2 linked regions of the Mytilus edulis genome follow. Each later gene encodes a partner of the first gene's protein in a complex. Links are inferred from orthologs where the notes say so. Each region holds a gene or a part of one and is shown in the gene's direction. Other genes may lie near its edges. The genes, in order: target of rapamycin complex 2 subunit MAPKAP1-like and rapamycin-insensitive companion of mTOR-like.

The links.
Region 2: the proteins of target of rapamycin complex 2 subunit MAPKAP1-like (region 1) and rapamycin-insensitive companion of mTOR-like are in contact, whole or in part, in a cryo-EM structure (PDB 7PE7), measured with the Homo sapiens proteins. The link is inferred for Mytilus edulis from reciprocal best matches to the Homo sapiens genes MAPKAP1 and RICTOR. Residues at the interface, in NP_001006618.1 of Homo sapiens: Ala2, Phe3, Leu4, Asp5, Asn6, Pro7, Ile9, Ile10, Leu11, Ala12, His13, Ile14, Arg15, Gln16, Ser17, His18, Thr20, Ser21, Asp22, Asp23, Thr24, Met26, Cys27, Met29, Val30, Leu31, Ile32, Asp35, Val36, Ser84; in NP_689969.2 of Homo sapiens: Arg108, Gln137, Glu140, Thr144, Leu147, Arg148, Arg151, Lys152, Thr155, Arg182, Met183, Arg185, Ala186, Ala189, Cys192, Glu193, Leu196, Leu220, Arg222, Ile223, Glu225, Ala226, Leu227, Thr229, Thr230, His233, Asn236, Arg293, Trp295, Glu844.

What each region holds. Positions count from the first base shown.
Region 1 is NC_092345.1:75,930,719-75,942,428, forward strand, and holds the start of target of rapamycin complex 2 subunit MAPKAP1-like, read left to right. Parts: upstream 1-3,407; 5' UTR 3,408-3,541; intron 3,542-7,633; 5' UTR 7,634-7,660; coding exon 7,661-7,791; intron 7,792-9,742; coding exon 9,743-9,831; intron 9,832-11,710. UniProt on the Homo sapiens protein: Component of the mechanistic target of rapamycin complex 2 (mTORC2), which transduces signals from growth factors to pathways involved in proliferation, cytoskeletal organization, lipogenesis and anabolic output.
Region 2 is NC_092344.1:106,557,841-106,569,550, forward strand, and holds the start of rapamycin-insensitive companion of mTOR-like, read left to right. Parts: upstream 1-5,087; 5' UTR 5,088-5,106; coding exon 5,107-5,164; intron 5,165-5,255; coding exon 5,256-5,303; intron 5,304-8,333; coding exon 8,334-8,493; intron 8,494-10,998; coding exon 10,999-11,130; intron 11,131-11,710. Other genes in the region: diisopropyl-fluorophosphatase-like, read right to left, coding at 4,731-4,913. UniProt on the Homo sapiens protein: Component of the mechanistic target of rapamycin complex 2 (mTORC2), which transduces signals from growth factors to pathways involved in proliferation, cytoskeletal organization, lipogenesis and anabolic output.

The sequences.
Region 1 (11,710 bases):
GCCTATATTTGCTTACAGCTTTGACACATGTTACCAAGGGATCATTTTCTTACAGAGTCTGTTCACCCTCCTTATCAATTAAAAGTCATTCTAGATCTTTACTGTTAAACAAATGATGTTTGGTAATTATTAATACATGTTATCAATCATGTATTTATGACTATGTGTATATTTGGAAAGAAATACTGTTATCTATACTTTGTTTAGAACTGATGTATTCAAGCGCGGATCCAGAGGGGGGGTTCTGGGGGTTGGAACCCCCCTTTTTTTTTACCGATCAATGCATTTGAATGGGAGCATATAGCTGGAACCCCCCTTTACTCTGGGATGGGAAACCCCCCTTTTTATTACCCGTACAGAAATTGCTAACAAAAGCACATAAGTTTCACATGTGAAGCACATGAGATGCAAATAAGAATTGTATGCAAATCAGGTTGATCATATGTGCAGTTTGGTAGTTCATATGTGCCCACAAAAATCTAACATAATGCTCACATGTGCAATTCAAACCTCAGGTGAGCTTTTATCATCCATGTTAGTTTTATGTTAGTTTTGTACTTTGAAAAGTTTTTCCATTCTTCTAACCATTCAAAACTAACCTACATCATTGCTCATATGAGCTTTTTCAAAATGACATGCCCAGTCATGTACTTCCTGTAAATTCAAATTCATGAAAAGCATGCAATAAATGAAGGTAGATGGATATGGAAAATGTTAAGTCCTATATTGTGCTATTTGAAGAAAGGCATTGTTGAAATCTGATAAAACCAGTGTGGCTGTGGTTAATTATTTTTGTAAGTTATCATTTCTATTTCATTATTTTCATTTTTGTGTCAGATTTTGAAATATATTACAATTTTAAGTCCTTTATGGGAATATATATACAGGTTGCTTCAAAATAAGTACTACATGTATAAAGATTTTTCCTTTTAAACTTTTTGAAATACAGTACTTATTAATCAAAGATATTCATTGTGTACTAAACTTGCAAGTCCCTCTATTAGTTTTATAATGTAATGTTATGTTTTTAGTCATGATCATGATTATTGTTTAAATAAATAAAAAAAAAAAATCATATGAAAATCATAATTAACTGACAATAATTAAAGAATAACTCTTTTTACATGATGTATCAGTTATTTTATTTTCAACTGAATTATTTAAGATTTTCATTTAAATTTGAAAAATATTCATTTTTTAAAGCAGCCATTTTGTTTTGGTCAACTATAATATTCACGTGTGCAACATGTTAGCAACTGCTCATATGAGCAATCTAATAAAATGCACATGTGAAACAAAAGCTCATATGAGCAGTTGCACGTGAGGTTTTTAACATGCAAATTAGGTTAGTTTCATATGTGCAATTTTTTTGCTCACAAAATGCTCACCTAATTTGCATGTTAAAAAACTCGTGTGCAATCATGTTAGTTTCTAACGTGAGCATCTTATGTGCAACTTATGTGCAACATGTTAGCACTTTTTGGTAAGGGAATGGCTGGATCCGCCCCTGTGTATTTGTATGTTTTTTTAATATTTGTGGGTCTCTAGTCTTTTTTGTGGTGATTATCTTGTACATGTGTATGTGTCTGTTGGTTATTTGTTTCATACATAAGTACTATCATGAAATAGAATTTCCTTTATAAAATAAGTTCCAAGATTTCCAAATGGAAAAAAAAATATTAAGCAGTAAAATAATTTTCATTGGAACAAATATTACAGTATTTTTCCTACAGGAATAATGATGACATGATATTTGTTCAAACAGCTGAATAGAAATATATGTATATTATATAGTATTGTTTAAATTATAACAAAGTTCACCATGAAGTTTCCAGTTGAACTTTTGATAGGCAAAACAAATATGGGTTTACTGTGATGCATGTAATTATACTAATAATTAACGGATATGCTCAACAGAAACTTTTGATAAACAAATATACAATATGTGAAATAGTCTTCATTTAGAGTTAAAGCCGAATAAAGGAACTAGCTTAAACCATGCAGTAGCTAGCAGTCTAAATAGTGACAATACTCTTAGCTTACATGTAACTCGTAGCTATCCTATTGGTTTTTGAACTCTACATTTACACACTTACATGACTTAACATGCTTAAAGAGCAGTTCACTGAAGTATAGATTTTATACATCTGACATGGCAAAAAAAAAATGGACTAGAAGTGAAACTGGGAGACAACTACATGAACTAGTTCCTACTGTGAGTAAGACCCATTCACTTGATTATGAGAATCCATAGGGAGAATCATGTCGAAATTTATAACAGGCAAAGTGAAAGTATACAATAGAGTGAATAGACATAATAAATACTGTCATCAGATAGGCCAATCCCTTACACCATATAGGAATGTGGTGAAGAGGAAGACACAGAACACTTCCTATACTTCGGACTACTGAATTTTAATGTGCCTATTGTTATGCGTTTACTTTTTTGCATTGGCTAGAGGTATAGGGGAGGGTCGAAATCTCATAAACATGTTTTATCCCGCCACATTTTTGCGCCTGTCCCAAGTCAGGAGCCTCTGGCCTTTGTTAGTTTGTATTATTTTTAATTTTAGTTTCTTGTCTACAATTTGGAGTTTAGTATGGCATTCATTATCACTGAACTAGTATATATATTTGTTTAGGGGCCAGCTGAAGGACGCCTCCGGGTGCAGGGATTTCTCGCTGCATTGAAGACCTGTTGGTGACCTTCTGCTGTTGTCTGCTCTATGGTCGGGTTGTTGTCTCTTTGACACATTCCCCATTCCATTCTCAATTTTATAAATCATTTTAATTTTACAAGATACCACCAGAAAAGAGAATAATGAAGACTGCTGGAGATTCAAAACATCCAAATAGTTTGTCAGACACTATAGCTACTAGCAACAGAAAGGAAATAGACATTTGAAAGAAAAGCAGAATAATTAAAGAGTTCAGAGCAATTTGAAGATTCAGTTAGCTCTGAATTATAGATTAAATGTACTAATGTACTCCAAATAATGATAACGTCTTGAAAGGCTATTACATTTTTTCTCTTTAATTCTGTCAAATATGCCTTACATCAACGCAGGAAGGCATCAAAGCAAAAATTAAAATAGCCTTCCAAGACGTCATAATAATTTACTTATACTGAATTACCCTTTTGGACTAACCTGCTATATATATATATATATATATAGCACATGTATGATGTAGCATGTGTAGCTTCAGGAATAGAAGTGTAAATCAAGACAGAATTAAAATTAAGAAGAACCAACGACTTAAAGAAGATAAAAATATATATATTATTCTAAGCTTCATAGTATAGTAGATTAGAAATACAATACTATTTTTCTGAAGTATTACCTGAGGCTGAAACACCACCAATCAACAAATTCCGTTTTATCGTAACTTCTCCGGTTACGTTCCGAGTTTTATTTTTATCGTAATTACCTCCCTTGTCTTAGCCTGCGGCCACTTTGTTTTGGTTTTTACATTAAGTTAAACAACTTAATAACACCAAATTTGTATTCAAGATGTTCATTCCATCAATTGTATAATACAAGTAAGACATTATTGTCACGTGAAACAGCTGGGTTGGTTGATATTTGATTCATCAATATTAATGTGAAACTGGTGTATGATCCTGCTGAATCCTAGTCCAAATAATTATGACGTCTTGAAAGGCTATTATAATTTTTTGGAAAATGACGCAGTCATTGTTCCATTACTGGCGACCTGAACTTCATTACATTCTCTGCCTACCGCGCTTGGTTTCGTATTTACTATTTTCTATACAAACTGGAATTTGCTTGTGTTATCATTATGCATGAGAGGTCATTGTGTAGTAATCAGCCAGGAACCAGTTTACAAACTAACTGGTTTCTACTTGTATTCCACTACACTCGAACAAAGTGTTGTAGTTTGACGGGAACCAGTTTAGAATTTGTAAACTACAAAACGTAATCGGTTATTGTTCATTCCGTTTTGGTGTTTCATACCGACTTTTATGGTTTGAATAAGCTTAAGACCCGTCAAACATTAATGTGATAGGTATATTAAAGACTGTTTTACAAAAGGATGGAACTGTTTTGCTTTCAAAGTCGTACTATAGTGATATCTGTTATGTACGGATTTCCACTCTCACCGGTTAATTTCTTCTTTTACACATGCTTTTGAAACTTCCTGTTTAAACATCGCAAGTTTTAAAATTGTAAAACATAGTGAGTGAATTTAACTTATTTTAACAATCATGAAGCGTTCCAGAATCATTTTCAAGCAGTTTCTTCTTCTCTTTGATGATGGAAAATAGGTTTTTCTCAAGAAAATACCGCAAACGATCGCAGAGGAATTGAAACGTACAAGTCAAGTCGGCACCTGGTTAAATTGGCATCTAGTCAAATCGGCACCTATTTGACGTCAATTCGGCATCCAATAATATTTGTTATAATATTTTCTATTCAATTAATTAATAACTGTTACCAAGTACATAGTGAATATGTTGTTGTGTATTTAGGTAAACAACGAAACCAAAGTGAACTATGTTGTTGTGTATAAAGGTAAACAACGAAGCCCTTACCCAAGCTGTTGTTTTAACAATTAGACAATTATTAAAATAAAATGGAAAACTATGAGTCCCTTTCAATAAATCAAACTTTCATGCCAAATAATAAGCAAATTTAAGGTGTTTTTTTTCAGTAAAGTTTAAAAAGCATTAAACAAACAATCCTGTAAAATGCTCAACTGGTTTAAATAATGCATAAAAATATCCAATATCTCATGTATTAGTCCAAATAATTATGACGTCTGGCAAGGCTATTTTTTTTTCTGTGATGTCTTCCTATGAAGTTCGTAGGAAGGCGTCCCAGAAAAAAATAAACATAGCCTTGCAGTCATAGAAAGGTGTCCCAGAATAAAATTTAAAAAGCCTTGCCAGACGTAATAATTATTTTGACTACTCATATATATATCATTAAAAATACACCAAAAAAGTCATTAAGTTGAGAAAAATAAATATATACAAAATGTACATGAACACCCAAAAATGTGAAAGTTAGTATTTAACATGTTTAACTCTTTTTGCTTAAATACTGAAAAAAATCCTGGCAACCCCTTACTTATTTTTACTCTTTTTGCTTAAAATACTGTTAAAATTTATATTTAATATGGGTGACAAATTGACTATATCAGGTGTCGATTTAACCAGGTGCTGATTTGTCCAGGTGCCAATTTAACCAGGTGCCGGTTTGACTAGAATTCTTTGACAAATGTTTGAAATTACCTGAGTTTCATTAAACCTTTGATAACAGTAACAAAAAGATTATTTACTTAATATTTTGTGGGAGAAGGGGGTTCAGACTATGTGGTACCAGGTCTGTTCGCGTCCAATTCACTTTCGCACCCTACACGTTCGCACCTCGCACGTTCGCACCGAAGGTCCGTTTGCACTCTACTCATTTGCGCCCAATTTTAATTCAAATTCAAGTTGAATAATTGGAAAATCATGATTGTTGTTTTAAATTGCTTTGGTGTAAATACTGAATGTATTTATAGCTTGGTATGAGTAAAACATTGAAGATTTTAAAGGAAAACACAAAAGATAATTGTTTTTAACAGCTTGGTCCCTTTGATCTGAAACAACGAAACAATAAAATATAGGAACCAAAATATAGCAATCCACTATTATAACCAAAACATGATAAAATCTATTCAACACACAGAAAAAAACATAGTCAGAATCTCACTTCATTTTGAAAGAAGTCAATGAAACAAAGTTATAGCAATACACTAACCAAAACATGATTAAGAGTTATTCAACACAAAATAAAACGTTGACAAAATACCACTTTATTTAGAAAGGATTATTATAATTTTTAACAATACGCTATCTAAAACATGATTAAGATTTATTCAACACAAAAAAACAATGACAACAATTATACTTATAAGAAAACACTTGCTTACAGAGTTATTAAACACAAAACCAATTAAGATTGGGTGCGAACATGTAGGGAATGAAAGTGAAAGGGGCGAACATGAGTGGGCACGAACGGAACCGGATTCAGACTATGTACCAGTGAGAAATATACAAGCCTTTCTACGGTATTTATTTGTACAATTCAGGTAGTCTTGACCTATTCATTTGTCTTAAAAAACAGCCAGTTGTCACCTTCACTTCACACACACACATATATATACGAATATCAATAATATGCTTACGAGACATGTTGCATTGTTAAACTAATTACGGTATGTGAAAATCAAGACTTGCATAAAAACTATCCCAATATTAGAGACAGTGGCGTCATTTTTCTTCAGAGCTTTCAGCTCTTTGATTTCTTTGACGCCTTACATCGATGGACTAGCTGAATCCATGATATCTCGGCCTATAACAAAATCGGACTATAACAAACTCGGTCTATAACATAATTGGCCTCCCAAAATCGGACTATACCTAACTCGGACTATACCAAACTCGGACTACTAGAAGAATACAAGTATGATGTTGGTTGGTTGTTGTTATTGGAAATTAATTTTCAATTCTTAATTAGGTCTTTATAATTGATTATGACATTATGCTACGTGTATTGTTGACACCTTTTTAATCACCATAAGTTAAACAAACAACTGACACTAGTACGAGATTACTCTGACGTCCAACGGCTGTTTTGCCAGACAAGCTGGGACCGTGGGAGGTCAGAGCCCGTCCCATATCAAAAAGTGGATATTTGCCCACCCAAAATAGATGCGCTGCTTCGTCGCTTCTGGTGCCGACTGACGGCCTTGGAATTATATAAATCGGGCATCAATCTGTTCATTTTTCATTTATCTCTTCATTTATGTAAGTTTCACTTACCTGCCAACCTTTATTTTCTCATTATTAGACAGTTTTTACAGTCACACATCGATTTCGACATTTTGACATTTTGACAGATTTCATAAATAAAAAGAAAATTTCTTCAAACATTTTTTTGAGAGGATTAATATTCAACAGCATAGTGAATTCCTCAAAGGCAAAAATTTTTTAAGTTCATTAGACTGCATTCATTCTGTATCAGAAACCTATGCTGTATCAACTATTTAATCACAATCCAAATTTAGAGGTGAATCCAGCTTGAATGTTGTGTTCATACTTGCCCCAACCGTTCAGGGTTCAACCTCTGCGGTCATATAAAGCTGCGCCCTGCAGAGCATCTGGTTATACAATGTTTAACATATCATCATTACAAATTGCATTTCATCTTCACCCTCACATATCTGTTATGGAGTTTATCTGCTATTATTAGAATTGTAGTTTCCTTAAACGCCCTTTCATGCTTTAATAACTACATTGTAGTTCAAATTAGAATATAAGAAAGCTGTCCATCCAAATTTAAGGCATGAACCAATGCAACCACTAAACTTCAGGCTCCTGACTTGAGACAAGCACATACAGAAGGTGGTGTGGTAATCGTTATTATGGTAATTAATTACTTTCAATCAAGCTTGGTCTCACAGAACATGACAATAAGACAATTTCAATCCTGCAAATGAACAACAAATAGTTATACATAACATTGTCACAACACTTACTTTGTAGATAAGAAATGAGATACAGAATTAGAATATTGGTATTAGTATGAGGTTTGTACTTTTTACATGTGTTTTTTTTCTTCAGATTTACTTAAACAGATAGGCTGTAACCATGGCTATGACAGATAATGCCAGATTTCTGATCTCTCACTTGAGAAACTCATTCATTACCAGTGATGACACAGGGATGTGTGAATTAATTATTGAGAGTGAAGATTATGATGAATATGATTCTAAAAGCAGGTAAACAGTCTAATACTCTATACAGATGTATAGACAATCATTTTAGAGAAACATTTAAACACATACTTTGTGTTATTTGCCATAAACCTGTCTTTTGAAAAATGTTATAAACAGTGCATATGTTATGTCCCTATATAACTTTATATTACAATGTATATGCAAGCTGGGGCATCATCGGGGTCCCATGGACACATTCCCCATTTATTATTTATAGTATTGTATATACAATCCTGTACATGTACATGCTAAAATCACATATGAATCCTTAGTCCTGACTCATGCTTGTAAAACCAATGACTACAATGAAGATGTCCTAGGTCTAGTTTACAATGTTTACAATCCCTTTTCCTATTAGTATTACTCATTTCAGCATACAAAGTAAAGAGAATGATTATAGACATGATAGATGCAGACCATGTATGACCATGATGACAAATACATGATAGAAAAATTTTCAAAACTCTTTGCTGAACCATCAGTCTAACTTTGACCACACTCTATACCCTGAAATAACATTTAAAAGGATTGCATCACTGATCGTATAATATTTCAGCAGTCCTAAATCATAGGGTTTACAACAGCTAAAAACTTATATCATAAAACTTGTTTATTTGAAGCAAAAGAGTCAATAAGAGGTAGGCTGTAAAATTATCAAAATATGAATATCGTTTGGTGTATGTTGTCAGTTCACTTGTGATTTTATGTTTATAATTGAGTTCATTAAGTCATTTCAATTGATATTTTATAGTGTGTCTTTCTATGTTGTGATGTAACACTATTGTTTCAGATAAGGGTGACGGTTGGTAAAACGTTTAAACTGGCTGCAATTGTTTGCACCTGTCCTAAGTCAGGAATCTGATGTTCAGTAGTTGTTGTTTGTTGTGGGGTCCATAAGTGTTGTTTCCAGACTTAAATTTAAGTGAATAAAACTATGAAATACAAGAAGGTTCAATACCACAAAAGAAAGGTTGGGATTGATTTTTGGGGTTGTGGTACTAACAGATTAGGAATAAGGGACCAAAAAAAGGATTTGTGTAGAAGTTTCTGTACAATAAAGTGTGTGTCTTCAAAATTTTTGAAAAGTTTCAAGAAGAATTCTTCAATTGAACAGTATTGTGCAATAGCACAGTAATGCACAATAGATTTTTTTGGGTAAAGATTGCATGAAATGCAATCAAAATCATATGTTACTGACTTGATATCTAAAATCTCTACATTTTTGATACACAAAATATAGTGCATTGATCATAACATTCTATACATCCTATCCCTTAACACTTACAGAAATTTATTAATTTAAATATACGCTTAGGTATCAAATCACAAAACCATGTTATAACTTTTGCAAGGTGCAGGAATCTTATATCTGTTCTAAAAATATAAATGATGTCATTGTTAAAATCACCTTTAAATTTGGAGTTATCTCCCATTGTCCAGAACTATAGTTGAAATAACTACAAAAAATGCTTTATTGGAAATGCAATATTTAATTTTACTTCCATGTGATAAAATAAAGCAATCTTTACCCTTCAGTACTTACAAGAACTTTGATTTAGATCTTTGACCACATTAACATTGTGTTAGAAACATATTATGTCAAAACTTAACTCACAATCCAAATTCAGACAGTATCAAGCTTAAATATTGGTCAAACTTGCCCCAACTTTTCAGGGTTTGACCTCTGTGGTGGTATCAGGCTGAGCTCCTTGAATCATTTTATTTGTGTAGATTAAAGCATTGGTGTTCACGTTTGCATGGTTTTACACTAGTCATTTTAGCTTGCTATTCAGTGTAAGCCATGACTCTGTGTTGAAGACCGAACTATGACCAATAATGGTTTACTTTTATTAATTGTGACTCGGATGGAAAGTTTTCTCATTGGCACTCATACCACATTTTCTTAAATCTAAGAAGGAGAGAATGATTAATGAAATGATATATTTTTTTCCAGACATGATTCTTCAAGTATTAGTGACAGTGGAATGGACTCTGACACCAACCTGTCAAGTTCCTATGATATCCTCCCTGATATGGGATATGGTTAGTATTAATGTCAGTGGAATGGACTCTGACAGAAACTTGTAAATGAATCCATATTTATAATGACACACCTTTGTCCTGTCCTGTCATCAACCTAACCCATGGATCCATATTAATCGGGCTTCAATTTTTTCCTTTTTCATTTATCTCTTCATTTATGTAAGTTTCATCTACAAATGAACCTGCCACCCTTTATTTTCTGGACAATTTTCACAGTGACCTATCGATTTTTGCATTTTACATTCACTTTGAAAGATTGTCACATGACCAATGAGATAAAGCAAAGTGCAATGCATTATGGGAGCTGATTTATGCAATGACCCTGGGTCAACCTGACACCTCTTTCATTGACAAAGCAAATAAGCTGAATGGCCCGATGTGTTCTGATTGCGACCATGTTTTGCCAGGAAGGTTCTAGTCTGAAATTAGCATATGAGTCTGCATACTTTTAAACTCTCAAGGCTGCAAAGTCTCTTGTAACTTGGCATCCATTTGAAAATAAAGTTTAAAATCTAAATGTAGATAAAGTATGATAATATGAATCAGAATATGCCACAGCATTTTTAAGCAGTTTTATGGTAGAAATTGTTTATTCAGCTGAACCTTGTTATGTCGAAGTCTAGGGGACAGGACAAAAGTATTTGACTTATCTGTGGTTTGATTCGAGCTCAAGTAGGGCGTAATAAATTTTGAATTCAGGAAATACAGTTTGTGATAAGTGTAAACTAGATATATTGAACAATGTCCCTTTATTTCGTTTCTATACGACACATTATGATTGTGTATTCAATCTCCATACTTTATGGTTCCTCATAATCATTTAACACAAGTACAGATACATAACATTCACAAATAACATCATTACACAAACAAATTTTTTCAAAGGTTAGTCTCTCTTATTACATGTATTATGAAATCACTTGCAAAACAAATCAGTTCTTAGATATGTGATCAGGTTTGTCTGCATTGCATTCAATTATAAATTTGACATATAATTATGTCACCCGATCGACAATGTCGGGTGACATATTGCTTTTCCTCTGTTTCTTTTTCCGTATTATTATTAGCTCACCTGTCCCGAAGGGACAAGTGAGCTTATGACATCACTTGGCGTCCGTCGTCGTCTATCTGTCGTCGTCGTAAACTATTTCAAGAATCTTCTCCTCTGAAACAACTGGGCCAAATACTTTCAAACTTTAACTGAATGTTCCTTAGGGTATCTAATTTATAAATTGTATCCGAAGTTTTGATCTATCAACAAACATGGTCGCCATTGCTAAAAATAGAACATAGGGGTCAAATGCAGTTTTTGGCTTATAACTCAAAAACCAAAGCATTGAGAGCAAATCTGACGTGAGGTAATATTGTTTATCAGGTCAAGATCTATCTGCCCTGAAATTTTCAGATGAATCAGACAACCCGTTGTTGGGTTGCTGCCCCTGAATTGGTAATTTTAAGGAAATTTTGCTGTTTTTGGTTATTATCTTGAATATTATTATAGATAGAGATAAACTGTAAACAGGAATAATGTTCAGCAAAGTAAGATTTACAAATAAGTCAACATGACGGAAATGGTCAGTTGACCCCTTTAGGAGTTATTGCCCTTTATAGTCAATTTTTAACCATTTTTCGTAAATATTAGTAATCTTTTACAAAAATCTTCTCCTCTGAAACTACTGGGCCAAATACTTCCAAACTTTAATTGAATGTTCCTTATGGTATCTAGTTTGTAAATTTTATCCGAAGTTATGATCTATCAACAAACATGGTCGCCATTGCTAAAAATAGAACATAGGGGTCAAATGCAGTTTTTGGCTTATAACTCAAAAACCAAAGCATTTAGAGCAAATCTGACGTTGGGTAATATTGTTTATCAGGT
Region 2 (11,710 bases), on another chromosome or scaffold:
ACCTGTATGTACAATGTACATCTACATTGTTACGCTTTGATTAAAATAAACTGTTTAACAATACTACACAGTTTATAATCATTTTAACAATAGATGTGTAATGAACTGCCTTTGATATGCAGTATTTATAGCTTGCTCAGTGAAGTAACACCATTTATTAAACCTCGTTAGTTTTGTATATGAAAAGCAGTAATGGGGCCATGTACAGGTAATTTGCTAGACATGAGTGTTGAAAGTGAGAAAATATAATAATAAGAAGTGAATGCTCTTTTCATAAAATATTATATACAAATGATTAGTTCATTTCCATTTTCCAACGGTTATAGGAATAGATTTAATGTACCTTCATTTGTCACACTATCAGAGTATCAGACTAGTCCAAATAATTTTGACGTCTTGGAAGGCTATTTTAAATTTTTGCTTTGATGCTTCTAAGAAAAAAATGTAATGGAAGTACACCACTAATTAATGGCCCCATTGCTTTCTATGTTAAATTCCTCAATTTCGAGTGGTCACAGCTCTTTTATCTTAAGTTCAAATAAAGTGACAATCAGTGCATGTCAAAGCAACACCTTCTGGTGTCCTGTACTGAAAAAATCAACATACCTTACATGGCATATAAGAAAGAACTGGTTCCCGGAACTTCGGATGTACCAAAACAGGTACTTCCGATCTGACAAAAAGGCAAAATGTACCCTCCTTTTTAAATTTCATGCCATTTTTTTATTATTCAAATTTATCAGTCAAAAATTGTTCTACAATGAAGCTTTCATTTGATACCAAAATTAATAAAATATTCTAAATATTTTGAAAGTTATGTCCATGCGTAGGAACTATTTTGTGTTAAATATGTACTACTTTCTGGTATGTGCTTTCTGGCCGGGCCCGAATTAGTGGTGTTACACCTAATAGCCTTTCAAGATGTTATAATTATTTGGACTAGGTACATGAGACTAATGCACCTTATTGCTATTCCAGGCTGACCCAGAATCTTTCCCACTTGAACTTCTGACGTCATACAACAATCACTTTGGCGTCAGATATTTTGTATCATGATGTCAAAATTTTACTGGAACCTGTGTGATGTCCAGTAATGGCGGACAAATAGCGATCAGTGTATACTGCCTTCTCCTCATTCCGGTGTATCCCTGATTCCGGTGTAATGTTAAATTGCGGGTATTTGTTGAACTAAAAGCGCGTGCAAGGGTCAGGGGTTACAGGTTACAGACAACTGGTGCATCGCTGTCATCAAGAAATGTAAATACGTCAAACAGTCTTCATTACAGGTAAATATATATATATTAGCGCACGATAGTATGATTTCCATAATTCCCAAATTCATGCATATGCCATAAAATATCAAGCCATCTAAAAATATTGAATAATCATCCCAAATCGATTTATTGTTATTGATTTCTCGTCTGCCATTTGCAAGGCGTCCCAAACAACAGTCACGTGATGATACAGCCTCGATATGACTCTGAAAAATCTATGGAAAGCCTGATTAACAAAAATGAACACTTTTACAGTTTATTTTAGAAAAAAGTTATTAATCTCGTTTTTATGTTTATGAAACTATTTATGTTGATTGAATTTAATAAAAATTAATAAATATGAATATGAAGAACATATTACTGTGATTAAAGGACAAAATGCTTGCACAATAATTATTAAAAGAAATGTGCTTTATAATTAATTGAAGGTATAAAGGGGGGGGGGGGGGATGAAAATATTTTTTTCAAACTGAATTTAAGATTTTACTGATCTTTTGTAAATGTTTATGTCTATTCATTTTTATTACAGATATTTTTACAATGAAGAAAAAGCAGTATGATCCAAATGCGTTAAAATTTGCCTATGATGCTGTACAAAATGGAATGTCTGTTTACAAAGCTGCAAAAAACTATGGTATTCCAGAAAGCACGCTTAGAGATAGGACACTTGGTTTGGTTTCTGTGGATGGGAGATGCTCCAATTACCTTTTTGATGAGTCTACAGAGAAAAAAATGGTGGACCACATTGCACATATGGCCAGCATTGGTTATGGTTATTCAAGAATAGATGTCATTTATCTAGCAACTGATTTAGCTGTGTTTATGGGCAAGAGAAAACCTCAAGAGGATATATTGAGCAACAAATGGTATTACTCTTTTATGAAAAGATGGCCAAATCTAACTATTAGTAAACCACAGAAATTATCCATGCAGAGAGCTAGATGTGCATCAAAGGAGACACTATCTAACTATTACAAAGAGTTGGGCACTATTATGACCAAAAACAATCTGCATGAACAGCCACACAAAATATTTAATATGGATGAGAGTGCTCTACAAACTGAACATAGCCCAGGTAAAATTGTTCATGACATTGTTGTTAAGCCCCAGTCTGTCACATCGCCAAGATCTGCAAATGTCACTATAATTGGTGCTGGCAATGCAATTGGAAATGCTGTTCCACCTTATTATGTATTTCCGGGTGTTAAATTTGACAGGGCTCTACTTCTTGATGGGACTCCACCTGGTTCTGATGGCCAATGCAGTAAATCTGGATGGTCTAACAGTGAAATATTCAAAATGTACCTGGAAAAGCATTTTCTCAAGTATGTATCACATGATGTCTCTGGCACTCCTCTTCTTATATTGTTTGATGGCCACCGCTCACATGTGAGCTTAACTTTGCAAGATTGGGCTGAATCAAAGAACATCATTCTTTTCATACTTCCACCACACTGTAGCCACATTTTACAGCCATTAGATATAGGGTGTTTTGGACCATTAAAGGCTTGTTACAACCGGGAGGCACAGTTGTTTATGAGAAAAAATCCAGGATGTAAAATTACAAGGTATAACATAGGACAAATGTCTTGTTCTCCCTACCAGAAAGGTCTATCTGCACAGAACTTGATATCATCTTTTAGGAAAAGTGGGATATATCCTTTTAACCCAAAAGCTGTTGACACCAGCGAACTTGCTCCAGCTACAATTTACCCCACAGCTACATCAGATGAAGCAAGTACAATGAATAATACACAAATTTCACAAGAAGATGACAACACTTCCTCTCAGCAATTCAACAAAGCTGCCACTCTGACGATACAACAATTTGAAGCTTCATCATCAGCCCAAAAGGAACAAGATATCTCATCAGATCAAGATGAATCAAATAGTCAACCGTTGCTTACTCTAGTTCCTCCTGAAAGCAGGTACTCTGATGACATTCAAATATATACCGCAGAACCAATAATTGAATTGAACACATCAAACAACTCTTCGAATATAACCACATGTACAGTAAACAGTTCTCCATCCGGATTCCTGCTAAAAAGAAATGTTGTTTCAGTTGAAAAGACAGAAAAGAAAAGGAAACACTTCACAATCACAGGAAATTTAGGAAAAAAGAAAAATATGGATCATCTGAATCAGTCAAAAAAGAAAGGAACTTTTAAACCACCCTATAAAAAAGCAGAGCCTAAGACAGTTGAAAAGGAAACTAGAAATCAAAACAAAGCAGGAAAAGATACCAAAAAGAAGGCACCTGTAAAAAGAAAAAGTTCAACTGTGATGGAAAAAATTGAAAAAAAAATTAGATTATCAGAGGATGATGTTAATGCAGGTCTTGGTACATCTGGTTTAAACAAGGATAAAGGAGGACCAATATGTCTTGAGAATTCATTTAGTGACAGTGATGAAACCGATGATGACGACGGTGAAACTTGCTGTGTTTGTAATAAGAAATCTCCCTCAGAGATCAGACAACTAGCAGGAATTGTGTTTGTCAAATGGGCACAATGTGACAATGATAACTGCCGTCACTGGACACATCTCCAATTCTGTAGTGATGTTAGAGTCTTGCGGAGAGGGGATACTTTCTTTTGTCCACACTGTAAAGAACAGTAAACTGTCCAATATACAGAACACTATTCCAAAAACTGTTATTCTGATTTAAAAAAAAACAACAAACAATAGATTTAAAAGAACTGTTTAATATTAATGTAATTTTTCTATTTATTCAGTTAAAGTAGATTTTCAAAAAGTGAAACTTTGTGAAATATTTTTTTCCCACTATTGACATCAAAATAGAATTATTAAAATAATTTCCACAAAAGAGTGAAAGTAAAACAAAAATTTGAATGAGAATTTTTTTTTTTTATATAAATTTAGAAAAAAAATCTTGCATATATTGGACTTTTCAACATTTTTCATCTTGTCAAAAATAATTTGTGTATTTGTCCTAAATAAAATCGTGTTTTGCTGATCTGTACTTCTTACTAGAATATTAGCGTTATTTGATGCACAAAATAAGGTGCATTAGTGTTCCAAGTTGTCCTCCATACTATATTTTACCTTTGCACCGGAAAGAGGTTAATAGCAAAAACAATGATGGGTGGTGATCACCGATTTTCAATCATTTATTAAACTGATAAAACTTGACAAATGGGTAACATATTATGCATCATTGAAGAGCTAAATAACTGAATTTTATTTATTTCAATCATATTTGTTCCGTTTAGTTCGAAAAATGCGTTTGGAATAATGATTAACATTTTGACCACCGGAATGGGGTTAACCCAGTATATAGGGTGTCGGAGCTAAGGGGTGACAGACCAATTGGGCGTCAGACTAGTAGAGTTACCATGTTGGCGTATCAGGTCGACCCAAAAAAAATCATCACACCTTATATCTGGGGGGTTTTCAGGTACATGTTTAAATGAAAACGCTTCAAAAACATACTTTACAAGTTGAAAGATCAACTTTTAAAATCTGTCCTGCAAATGCACCATCTTTTTCAACCTCAGGAGCAACCATGTAAAAGTTTCCATCCTTATCAAACACTGGACCTTCCGACCCTAATAATTTGTCAGCAATCTTTGTAAATTCGTGTTGTGAAATTTTAGGGGCACCTGTGTCGGCCATGGTCAAAGTAGCTTTTGCTTGTCGTAAATTAGACAAGATGTAAACAAAGTAGTTTTGATTTACTTCAATAAATAAATTATTTTCAAATTGGTATTAAAATCTGAAGAGAACAAAGATTATTTTACAATTTAGTTGCCTTGTATCTTGCTATCGAATAATTTTACGACTAGCCGTAAAAATAGGAAGTAAAAATATGGCGGCCGTTGGGGCTCGCCAGGGCATACGGTCACACAAAACAGGGCGTTTTAAATGTATGTAAATCTTTCATGAAATCCTATTTACATTACATATCTCAATTATATCCTTAACTTTGTAACTATGTACTTTTTTCTTTCATTTCAGCTCGAAATGACAGTGGCGATGAAGTTTTTCGATTGGACTTTACCAAAGGTTTGTTATTTATGAAATGTCAACTTTATAATTACAACAAAAACAACTTGCTATGGGGAAACAAATATTCTCACAGTTGAAAAACATTGCACAACTACTGTCATTTTATAAGATTTGATTTACTGTGAATTTGAATTGTGCAGATCTGCCTGTCAGACCTGTCTACAGACAGGACATAACAGGCCTATTACAGTATCCATCATCTAAATGTACCATTTGGTGCATATTTCCCCTGGAAAAATTGACATATGAAGCAAATATCTTTACACCACATGTCATATGCCGAGTTTCCCCAAAATGACCTCAGGTAAACTTTGGCAGTGCATTCATAAATGAAAATTTCGGAAGCTTGTGTAGAGTTTGTGTATACACCTTATCGCTAATAGGGCTCTTCACGGTTAGTTCAACCATATTTGATAGGGGGCAGATTTTCATAATGGAGGTAAAAATGGTGTGAAAAATACAAGAAAACATCATATAAACAGAGCAGTTGCTTGAGGGGGGATAGGACCTTTATCGGGACTACGGAATCAGGTCTTTTAAGCTTGGGATTTCAGGATTGACCCTTATGTGAACCGGGAATTCTTTTTTGTGGATTTTTGGGACGTCAGGATTTAAAGTCTGGGATTTCAGGATCAGGACCTCTCCTATCCCCACATGCACTCTTGCTTGGAAACACACATAGGATTTCCCATACTTTCATACTATTTTCACATCTTTCTAAAAAAATCTGCCCCCTATCCAATATGGCCGAACTAACCTTGAAGAGCCCTATCCCGGCTGACCCGAGAATCTGTCCCGCTTGAACTATTGTCACTAGATATATGTTAAATATTGAAGTAAACAAATTCAGAAAATAAAATCATTTTAGTCATTTTGTCAATTTGATGTACAGTTCAGAATATATTTCAATTGGTTGGTTTTCTTTTTTATGCATACTGTGGATTCATTTATTTTCATTGGTATCAATTTTGGTGGATTGCTGAAAACTTTCATTTTCGTGGATATATAATTTCATGGTTTTGCCAATCTCTGTATATAAAGCCTATTGAAAATATGTTATTCGCTGAACATATGAATTTGTGGTTCATCTGTACCCACGAAACCCACGAAAATTGGTATCCAACGAATAAAAATGAATCCACAGTATCCAAGGGAGTTTCCCTAGGTAATTTGCGTCAACCAATTTGTTTGTATTAAGGGACTTTGATGTTAGTTTGAATGAAAATCAGAAATATAAATTAAAATGCTTGTTGAACACATTTATCTGATTAAAAATTGAATAAACTGGCCTTTCTACCTGCCACTAGTGAAAGCTGTGATGAATGCAAATCTTTCTTTAATTAATTGGTTTTCAAGTGCTTAGATATATGAGAACCCCCCCCAATTATTTTGTTTTTGTTTTAAATTGAAATTTTAATTATTCGAAGTAAATAGTATGACCCCCCTAAAAATAAGAAAAATCCCCCCCCCCCCCCCCCCATTTTTTTTAAATTTAAAATTTCAAAATATATATATCAATTCACCAAACAAATTTGACAAGACAGATTTTTTGCAGTGGTCTAAAACATTACAGAGAAAATGATTTCGGTATTTGTTTGATGATTGATGAAACAGACTATACTTAATAGACATTGAATTATTCCTCTTAGTACAAGAAAATGTTAAAGAAAAACTCTGGTTGTTCCCCTTGTATTCATTTGTTGTTTAATATAAACAAAAAAAATGAAATACTATTTTCTCAGGCGTGCAAGAACATACAATCAAATGTTTGGTTTTATATTGCTCTAATTGTAGATGACTGTTTAAAAAACCAAATTTCATTGGGTTATTTTGATATTTACAAAATTAAGTTGAAAGGCTACAAACTGACTTTCACCATCATGTCAGACCATACAGATAACAGCTATGATTTCTACTGTGACTCACAGGATCTGTTTTATTCTGCAAGAAAGTCTTTAAATATATACATGATATAAGATCATAAACATCGACGAACTGTTCTTTTGAATAATTTTTTCTATCAAATAGATTAAATATTTCTGGATATTATCAATAATTGGAAAATATATATATATACAGGTACACATGTTTATCATGTAAAAAAATATGTTTCCTTATTACATACATGTACCAGGTTGACAATACAATTTGAACTATTGACACTAGAAAACATCACTTACTAGATATCTAAACTCAAATAGATAACACATTTATTTTTACTGTTTAACAATGTTTAATGCAACTTACAGCATTATTGGCAAGTTATTACTGTCGGTTTAAGCCAATTGAGATGAAGCTAGCAATCCTGGTGAAGAAAGATTGGAGTTGAAGTCACAACCTCAGTGTTGAAATGCTATTGATACAGAAGATGAACTACTTATAAAAAAGAAGATGTGGTATGATTGCCAATGTGACTACTCTCCACAAGAGACCAAAAGACACCAAAATTAACAACTATAGGTCACCTTACAGCCTTCAACAATGAGCAAAGCCCATACTGCATAGTCAGCTATAAAGGCCCTGAAATGACAATGTAAAACAATTCTAACGAGAAAACTAACAGCCTTATTTATGTACAAAAAATAAACAAAAAACAAATATGTAACACATAAACAAACGACAACCACTGAATTACAGGCTCTAGACTTAGGACAGGCACATACATTCAGAATGTGGCGGGGTTAAACATGTAAGACCACATGGCCTCCAAGGCTATTAGCAGATAATTGATCATTCAGATTAAGTCTGTAAATTAAAACACTGAACGATTGTATACTTCCAAGGAAAAATTTATTCTGTTTTCAAATTTACCCTAGCTATGATTCTGCATCTAATATACCCAAGAATTACAAATGTACAAATGTAGTGTTTTTTTGTACATATATATAGGTAGACTGAGGCCATTACTAATCAACAGTCTTGTCATACTTGTGATTGTGATTCAAAGTCCTGCAAATAACTTGAAGAAAGCATTTGTTTATTTTATTAATGGGTATTGGTAGTTGTATAAATCTTATTTTATTTTAGGCCCAACAGATAATTTGAAGGAAATACTGGTGAATACTATTGCACAAATACAGACTTCTAAATCAAGAAAACTGGGCTACTTAAATGCCTTTGTTAAGTTCCTACAGAAATATAAGCAGGAGAAAATTACTGGATTTTCAAAAAGAGATATTTTAAGCTGGTAAGTATTTAGCTGTACATGGTAATCATATGGTATCATCATTTAACCAAACTTTAGAAAGCAGTTTTCTTTAGTTTTTATCAACCATGTATGATAATAAATTGATATTTGATCAAATATTTTCAATGAAAAAAATATTTTCCATTAATAATACAGAGTTCATTTTTATACGACCGCAAACATTAAACAAATTTTAGTCGTATATTGGTATCACTTTGTCAAAGTCGTCTGCATCGTCCGAAGATGAATTGTTTCCGGATAATAGCTTTTGAATAAGTAAAAAGAAATCAATAAAATTTTAACACAATGGTTATAACCATAAAAGGAAGCTTTGGATTGATTTTTGGGGATTTGGTCCCAAAGGTTTAGGAATTAGGGGCCCAAAAAGGCCAAAAACAGCATTTATCTAGTTTCAGGACAAAAAGTTGTATATGAGTATTTCAATTGTTATTTAATTGTACTACAATGTATAATTCCATAAGTAGAAGGTTGGGATTTATTTTAAGGGGTTATTGGGCAAAAAGTTTAGGAATTTAGGGCCAAAACAGGGCCAAAACAAACATTTTTCTAGTTTCAAGACAATAACTTGTGTGTAACTGTATGGATCTCTCTGACATTGTACCACAAGTTTCCATATAACACAGAGAAGGCTGGGATTCAGTTTGGGGTTAATTTTCTTGAATATGTAGGAATAAGGGGCCAAAAAGAAGCATTTTTCTAGTTTACAGACAATAACTTATGTTTAAGTGCATGGATCTCTATAAATTTTTATAAGAAGGTTCAATACTACTAAAGGAAGGTTGGGATTGATTTTGGGGGTTATTGTCCCAATAGTTTAGGAATTAGGGGCCAAAAAGGGGTCCCAAAATAATCATTTTTGTAGTTTTCAAACAATAACTTATGTTTAAGTGTATGAATCTCTCTGAAATTAAACCACAAGTTTCCATACCATGAAGGGATGGTTAGGATTGACTCTGAGGGGTTATGGCTCAAAATGTTTCAGAATTAGGGGCAAAAAAGGGGATAAGCTAGGTATTTCTGGTCAATGGACAATTAAGACAATTTGAAAGCAGGGTAAGGGAGGTAATTCTAAAACATTTAACATACAATGTTGGGTATGTTTGGATTTACCTCCCTTACACTACTTTTATATTATGTATAAAGACATGTCAGGTTTTGGACTAATTGCAAAAAAAGGGGGGGTAGTTGTTTTCAATTATTTTTTTTCAAATTTCTCAAATTCCAAATTTTTGAAAAGTTCAAAGAAGAAATCTTTAATTGCACAACATTGTGCAATAGATTTGTAAGATCTTGACCCTTGTTTAGTGTCAGAAACTCATATTATGTCCAAAAAAATTTCGCAATCCAAATTTAGAGCTGTATCAAGCTTGAATGTTGTGTCCATACTGGCCCCAACTGTTCAGGGTTCGACTTCTGCGGTCGTATAAAGCTGCACCATGCGGAGCACCTGGTTTCACATTTATATTGCATTGCCTAACTCCTGATTTTAAAAGAATTGATCGATTGGTGCAAACAAATGCAGTGGGTTTAAACATTTTTAAAACAGACACCAAACTTCACTGTAACCTGAAACAATAGTGAAACATCACAACATAGAAAAACACACTATAAAATATCAATTGAAATGGCTGAACTCTATCAAATGACATATGAACAAAAACAAGCAAACATACAAAAAACAAATAAATATGATCTATTACAAAATGTAAATTTATAAAAATTTATGAACTTCTAAGAGTTTAAACTTATATTAAAATTCTGTACTACCCCTACCTTTATTTTTGGTCTGCCTCAGAATTAATTTTTCATGGGTATCTTGTGTTTTTATGCTGATAACATTCCCAAGTTATGTCTCGATGATATGAAACAGAGATCTATAGTACTGAGACTACAGTTATTTTGTTTAAACTGAATGGACAAAGTAAACTTACTATTGGTTAGTTTCTGATTAAGGATTTTTTGTCTTGAGGTTGCAGTCTTGTAATTGACTGCTCCATAGGCTTACATGCAAAACAGCTGATCTTTGAAAATAAAAAAATAAAAAATGCTACATAGAAAAAAAAAATCATGTTCATATCATGTATGTACTAATGTGAAATTGTGATTTAATCGGGAAAAAAAAGGGGTCTTGCCACGAAGAATAAAAAGTTACGCAATCCTGAAGTCAAAACATTGTTTTTCTACTTTCTGTTTGCTATTTTTACTAGGCCACACCACTTCCAGTAAACATGATATCCTTCCACTTTCCTGGATTGATATCCCCAAAAGATGCAAGATTTTTTTTAAAGTCTATATATATGTTTCAATTCAGCATAAACCTATAATCAAACAGAAAAAATTGAGTTCAGAAAAAAAATCAGAAAAAAATGCACTATTTTGTTTCCCTCCATGTTTTGACATGCACCGGAAACTGGAGTTGTAATACAAGACTGGTACCTTGAATCCATGGATTTTGATTGATAATTCTTTATGATGATATTTCAGTTTGAGAATAAGTTTGTTTCATGAAGCAAAAGAAGTAAGAGCAGCTACCTTAAGAGTTTTACGGTACTTTATACAAGATGGTGAAGCTGTAGACTTGGTATATGCATTACAGATAGATTATTTGATTGTAAGGTATGTAAATCAGTTAATGAACAAAGAGATGTAGGGTATACATTGATGCCACATTAACCAAACAGCACAATAAAAAATGAGACATCTAAAGATTAATTTTTCAATTTAACATGAAGATTTCAACAATTGTAAAACTCTAAATCATTTAGGGAAGTTGTGAATGACATGTACAAAGATTAGCTAAAGTCAGCAATCAATGCCAAACTCACTAAACAACTGGAACTTGGATGTATGACCATGCAGCAGGGTCAAACAACTTTTGTAAGCACTGATTCCACCTCTTTCTCCTGAATGTATGAACTTATAATTCCTTTGTAATATATGCAGACAAGGTGGACTAGTTTATTCTGGTATATATATATATTAAAATTATTAAAACAAGGTAAATTTTTTGTAATTGATTGGAGGGGGTGAAAAATGAACACATTTTGGCTTCATTTATAATTTCTTAGATATAACATGTTTTACATAAGTAGTTTAAGATGTTAGATATAACATGTTTTACATAAGTAGTTTAAGATGTTAGATATAACATGTTTTACATAAGTAGTTTAAGATGTTAGATATAACATGTTTTACA